Linked DNA regions of Kluyveromyces lactis. The protein of the gene in region 1 purifies or fractionates together with the protein of each later gene. This does not show direct contact. Links are inferred from orthologs where the notes say so. Each region holds a gene or a part of one and is shown on either strand. Other genes may lie near its edges.

Region 1 (3,763 bases):
GGTGTTGTGGCTGCTGTTTGCCATGGTCCGGCAATCTTTGATGGTTTGACTGATAAAGATACTGGTAAACCGTTGATTCAAGGTAAAGTTATTACTGGTTTTACCGATATTGGTGAAGAAATCCTAGGTGTTGCCGATATACTAAAACAAAAGAAGTTAGATACTGTGGAAGATATCGCTAAGAAGTATCATGCAAAGTACATGGCCCCAATTGGTCCATGGGATGATTTTTCGATTGCTGATGGTAGGTTAGTTACGGGTGTCAATCCAGCATCGGCTAGTTCAACCGCAAAGAGAACTGTTCAAGTATTGAATAGCCTTAACTGAATTCCCTTTAGTATTTTTAATGGAGTGAAATAATTCCTGTTAATTACGTCAGGCATTTTGTCAGTAGCTACTTTTGTATGGTTTATTATGTAAGCTAGATAATTACCTATTAACAAAGTTAGTTTATCCTGATTATTGTATTTATAGTGTTACAATGGAATGGACTATCTGGAGCTAGTCCGGAAGGCACTAAGATACATAGGATACGGGAAATTTCAGTTGGTGATTATCCTTTTTTACCCAGTTGGCATCGAAATTGAATAAAATAGTACGATGTGGAATGATTTTCTGTCTCTGGAAAGGAAGTCTGGGGATGCGTGTCGGGAGTTTACCGTACTGTTTCAATCTGTTAATATCATATGCTCGGGATTCAAGTGTTCCCAAAATGGACAGTTGTTGTTCAAAAGAAAGAGCAGGTACTTTGTTAAAGTTAAGTACCTTTTTTGGACTTAATTTAGTAGCTTGGCAAGGATCAAAAAATGGATTGGAATATCTGTGGCGGTCACATTTCACATTATCGCTGTTTGAATCATTTTCATCTCCTTCTCTTACCAAGACAGGTTTGATATTCATTTTCTTAAATAATATCGCCCCAATACTAGACCTGTTTGAACCTGGCTTCTCAGATGGTGCATCGTTGAGCCGAAGCTCGGAGATGTCATTGGAAAGCTGTGTGATAGTTTTATTTGGATCATTTTCATTTTGGTGTTCCGGCAGTAAGTGTTCAAATTTTGTATTTAATTGTAGCCACTTTTCCGCATGTTCGTTGGTAACGGTTGCAATTGATTCATTCAATATCGAGCTTTCAAGAGCATTGTATATTATACCGAAGGTCTTATCAATAGTGTACGATTTGCTTCTCAATTGATCATGCAGTTTTGTTTTCAGCTGCTCCGAAAGATCAGGGTTGCCTACCTTCAGCAGCAGTTTCTCCACATCTTTCAGCATAATCCGTAGCTCGTCATTCAAAGTTGTAAATATGAGAACCCATTTCTCATCAACAATTGCTTGCTTTAGGTCTCTGAGTTCAACTTGTAGTAGTTCATACTTATCCAATATATATTGGTATTTCTTTCGCAGCAATCGCATGAGATATTCCAAATTGACAACATCACGGGTCTCGAAGTTATCTAATCTTTCTGAAAGGACATGTTTTAGTGACAAATCTATAGGTGCCGAAGAATCTTCCAACTGTGTAAGCTTTTCATGAATCTTTTGCTCTGAAGGAGAAAAGGCAGGGATCTGAAGTCCTTTGGTAGGAGAATTTGTTGAAGACAAAGTTTTAATCAATTGATCCAAAGTGAAAGTAGGTTTATTATGTCTTACAGGAGATTCAAAGTTTTGCTCTTGAAGTTCAATGCATTTAGACAAATTGTTTTCTATCTCTTCATCTAGACTGTTCATATGATCTTTGAATATTTCGTTGAACTCTATGGCGGTGTCGAACAGGTTTTTTAATGATGAGATGATTGGTTTTATGGACACTAATGTATCTGATATCTCCTCTAATAAATCAAAAAGTGCAGTCAACTCCTTCTGGAATAGTTCATCTTCATTACACCCAAATTCCTCTTCGATGATTTCCATCAGATGCAGCAACACCTTTTCGATGGTCTTTATCCCGTTGAAGAGCTGATAAAATTCAGATCTTCCCTCTTGAATCCAATCAAAATACGGTAAGAGTTGAGAAACGCTCACATCATCAGAAAACAGCTCTGCCAACAGTGTATGAGACTTTAACAGTAATTCTGCCAGACTACACAAGTGCTGGTTGGTGCTATCCAAATCAAACTGATAATCATCAAAAAACAAAAGAATATCTTGATATTGCTGTGAATTACTCCTCAATGAGATAGATAGTCTCTCATGAGGAAATCCTTTCAGCTCCTCTGCCATAGTATAGAAGCTTGCTGAAGCACACCTAGTGTGGACAATGGATCTCTGCTTCTCTATCGCCTACTGTTTTTCCGTTTCGTAACCCCATGCCTTTGTTTACATTTTAACTAATCTTAATTATTGATGATTTCATTTGAAGTAACGGGAAAAGTTGCTTGGTAGATAAGGCACGTAGAGGTCAGGAAGCTTGCAACATCAAAAGATTAATGCTTAGATGACTTCCATGGAGAGCTGAAATTATATGAATATTAATATATTTGTTTGATTGGTACCTTGTATGTTGTTTATGTGTATATTTATATGTTAATAATACATAGTACCAACTCTGGTGCACTTGTAAGATACCTATGCAGTGTAAGAAAGGAAGGTGGGAAATTTCTTCAATTACTCATGGCCTGAGCGTTGAAGTTTTTTGATCGTGACTGATATCTTCTAAAACTTGATGTATAACTTCTTCTTGCAGTCTCTTCTCGTTCTGATCTTGTGAGTTTTCTTCGTGGTCAGAATTTTGATCTTCACCAGAATCATCTTTGCCATTTTCTTCTGTTTGTGGCTCAGATTCTTGAGTTATGGCAGGTGGAGCGTATTGTTGGTGCTGGGAATGCTGCTGTTCTGAAGGTTCTGTCAATAATTTGTGTAAAGCACTATCATGGTTGGCGTAAAGATCTTTGAACTTACCCATTTCCACAACTGAACCATCGATGCCAAGTACAATAACATTCTCGGATCTTCTGATTGTGCTCAATCTATGAGCAATGCTGATAATAGTTAATTCTTTGCTCTTCATTAACCTCCCCAAAGTGTAGTTGATAGCGCCCTCACTTTCAACGTCTAGGGCAGATGTAGCTTCGTCGAGAATCAAAATTTTAGGTTTATTTAATAACGCTCTAGCGATAGCAATACGTTGTTTCTGTCCTCCACTGAGCAAAGCACCACGAGGCCCAATGATAGTTTCGTAACCATTAGGGAATTTAGATATGAAAGCATGACAGAAGCACTTTTTTGCTACAGATCTGATTTCTTCCATTGAAGGTTGCCTAGAGACACCATATGTAATATTCTCTCTTATAGTACCAGACATTAATATTGGCTCTTGTTGTACCACACCAAGTTGTCTTCTAAGGGATTTCGAACTTAATTTTGTAATATCTTGGCCATCAACCAAGATTTTACCGGATGTTGGATTGTAGTACCTCAACAATAACGAGGCAATTGTAGATTTCCCTCTTCCTGATGGACCTACAATACATACATTAGAACCTGGCTCTATTGTAAAGTTGAGATCCTTAAAGATTTGATTTGTTTTTCTTGTTGGGTAACTGAAAGAAACATGCTGAAACTCAACTTTACCATTTAACGGTTTAAACGCCTTCCCGGTAGTTGATTTAATAGTAGGTTTGTAATCAAGCAATTCAAACAATCTCGTAGCTGCACCAGCACCCTTCATCAATTCCGAGTAAAAGGTGGAAAGACCAAATACTGCACTTCCAGTGTATTCAGTATAGAGCATGAACGCAGTTAAATCACCGATTGTAAGGTT
Region 2 (3,047 bases), on another chromosome or scaffold:
TCAATCTGATGCTTGGTACCCCAATTTCAACTAAATGAGCAGCATAATCATCAGAATCAATAAACAAGGTTACAACGCCATTATTCAATAGAACAATCAGATCATCATCCTCAAATTTTGCGTCTTTCAATAGAACAGAAATATTTTGACCATGACTATTCTGAACAAATTCCAAAATATCATCTTTAGTCATATCCTTCCCATCAAGTACTAATTGACTGGATAAGTAAAGGTAAGTCTTTTCTTTCAACGCATTGACAGCATTGAACACAGGTACAACAGGCAACATTTCTGGTGCTTTATGACTTCTTGTCTTAGGTGGACAGTCCTGAATGTAACGAAATTTGATAAAGCATGACGACTAACTTATTTTTTTTTCATATTTCATATTTTCATTTTTATATACCAGGAGGCTTGATTTTTGCAGTGGATTGTGAAAATATGATTGAACGCATATGCACTGAATTACATGAGTCATATGATGAAAAAAACACAGGAAAGCCAATGAAAACTCGAAGAAGAAGTCCGGATGCGATTGATGGACTGTAGGTAATTCATTATAAGATGATTCATTATATGATGATGCGCTAAGTATGCTATATATATGATGCAAGTACAACAATGGATATTAAAAGGGACGAATTTTGACTCTAAAAGAATTTGTCGTCGTATGGGCAATCTACTGATTCATGACCGTCTTTTTCGCAAAGAGCACACCACAACGAGCGCCCTGCAGCTGCATTCACTAAAGTTGACTTTACTTCGGCACCTGGATTGTATAACGGCAAGGTTTCAATGTTACTGTCCACAATAAGTGTATTTTCTTCCTGTTTTTTGGATAATTCTTCGACTCGGGATTCGAGCTCCCCAATTTTTTTCCTTGCATCGTCTAATTCCTTGTTGAGAGTATACTCTTTTGTCTCTGTATCATGGGATTTCTGTTGATACTCTGTCATCTCAGTAGTCAAATTTTTATATTCTTTTGATAACGACTGGTTACGGAATTGCAGTTGCTCCTTCTCTTTCTCCCATTGGACCCTATGCAATTCAGCTTGAGTCTTGTGTTGCTGTAGTTCTAGTATCTGTTCCCTTAAATCGTTAATTAAAAGGGCATCACTGTTCGGTTCATCTTGCATAACATAATCATTTTCAAGGGAATTTTTCTTTTCCTTCTGCATAATCTCGGCTAATATGGCAGCATTCCGGTTTATCTCAGATTGGAGCTCGTCTATCACAGTCAAAAGCTGATCATGTTCACTTTCATAAAACTGCTTTTGGCGCTGATGGGACGTTCTTTCATGGTCGAGTTGGTTTTGAAGTAGAACTTTCTCCTTTTCTGTGGTATCCAACTTAGTCTCATATTCATCAATTGCAGCTTGGATCTCCTCGAATACAATTCGTTGATCCTCTACTAGTCTTTTGTATTGAACTAGCTCTGTTTGTAACATTTTTAAGTCCGAGGAAGTAGTTTGCATCGGATCGTCATTCGGTTGAATGACATTTGAAATACTAGTTCGCGACTTGATTTCAGGAAAACTGTTTTGAAGAGGTTCATGATACCCTAAAAAATTTGCGTTAATCCTTACGGGAGTAGGTGATGCAGGTGGTATGGTCATATTTGCCTCAGGGTTAGAAGGTATTGGGATCAAGTTGGCGATCTTTTCCCATTGGATAAAAAGTCCACTTTGAGGGAAAGAAGTCTCAAAATACCGTCTGCCTCTGAAAGTTCCATCGTTTTTTCCATTGCCAGCAAACAAATTGATACCAACAAATGTTCCTTTCTTTGTTTCTACTGAGCCAATGTACCGTATTTGCCCTCTACCTATGTTAGGAACTTCAATTACCAGTCCTATACAGTCTTGATTATCCATCACTAGAAATAGACCGTTGGGATGTGAAACGAAGGTGTTTTGGGCATACGTTTTAAAAATTTACCAAACCAAAGAAAAATCAGGAAAGGCTGAGAAAATACTGGTAATTAAGGTATTTGGAAACGTTACCTCAGGTCTGTTACTATCGTATCTCCATAGATTAAGGATTTTAGTTTTTTGCCTATTGACTGTAAATATTGTTATTATGACAAAAGGTAAATAGAACAGAAAACTCCTTCACGTGAATCTTGACTTCCAAACAAGAAATGAAAAAGCAAGGCGAACTTCATGCGATGATATTCTGCTGAACAGCAATAGAACTAGCCGCTTCTGGTTCCTAAAGTAGTTATTCGTAATTGTATTCATAAATGATGTTCACTATTTAACTTTCCGGACGTTAGCTACAATACAGTAATTATATCATTAAAGAAAATTGGTAAACTGGTAAAACTAGAACAAGGTAAAAGGTAATAAAGAAGTGATTAGTGATGGCTTTTTTGTTAGGTTTCATTAGGGTGTTTCTTTTGAACACTGGTATATTCTAAGTGCCTCCAGGGCCATGAGTAAATCCAGAAGGATGGTTGCAATGAGTACGATAGAATAGCTGTTTTTTCTTACTTGGTGCAAAGACCAATGTGAAAACATACATTCAACGAAGAAGGTTGGAGCTGTTGGGTTTATTCAATTCTATCGAGGTGTGTTTAATATGGCCATCATAAAAAGAGCTATCGATCAGATCTTGTTATCCAAGTTTTGGACAGGGTTTCCTAATTGCTCTCCAATAACGGCTTGACGTTTTGCTTATACAACACATAAGCGTCATTGCCACCAACAACCTTAACATTACCGGCTGGAGAGTATTCACAGATCAAGTAGACGGATCCGGAAGAACATTTTGTTACAGAACATCCGACGTCAGTACTAGCAGCCCAAACCAATTGAGTGAAGTGACCAACATCATGACCGTTATGAGAGATACCAGTGACATTGTTGTAGTCATAGTAGTTGATTTCATCGTACCACAAGCCAACTAAGGCAGCTGGATCGGAGTTAGTACCAGCAGCCAAGTTTTCACCATACGGACCACCAGAGTGTTGTAGCTTATAGTTACATGGATCGTTGTCGCTACCGAACAATGTTTGAGTGTAATCGTAAGCATATGCGGCTAATTCCTCA

What was found. Proteins that work in one complex are often made in the same cells at the same time.
Region 2: the proteins of KAR9 (region 1) and BIK1 purify together in Saccharomyces cerevisiae (affinity purification with mass spectrometry; 3 studies listed by BioGRID, with this or other methods). This does not show direct contact. The link is inferred for Kluyveromyces lactis from reciprocal best matches to the Saccharomyces cerevisiae genes KAR9 and BIK1.

The regions. Positions count from the first base shown.
Region 1 is NC_006040.1:67,228-70,990, forward strand, and holds KAR9 (Kar9p), read right to left. Parts: upstream 2,224-3,763; coding exon 517-2,223; downstream 1-516. Other genes in the region: KLLA0_D00704g (uncharacterized protein), read left to right, coding at 1-327; ATP-binding cassette permease MDL2, read right to left, coding at 2,612-3,763. UniProt on the Saccharomyces cerevisiae protein: Involved in karyogamy. Component of a cortical adaptor complex that orients cytoplasmic microtubules. It may be involved in anchoring cytoplasmic microtubules to the cell cortex.
Region 2 is NC_006039.1:110,895-113,941, forward strand, and holds BIK1 (Bik1p), read right to left. Parts: upstream 1,872-3,047; coding exon 651-1,871; downstream 1-650. Other genes in the region: HIS4 (trifunctional histidinol dehydrogenase/phosphoribosyl-AMP cyclohydrolase/phosphoribosyl-ATP diphosphatase), read right to left, coding at 1-289; KLLA0_C01496g (uncharacterized protein), read right to left, coding at 2,639-3,047. UniProt on the Saccharomyces cerevisiae protein: Required for nuclear fusion, chromosome disjunction, and nuclear segregation during mitosis. Probably required for the formation or stabilization of microtubules during mitosis and for spindle pole body fusion during conjugation.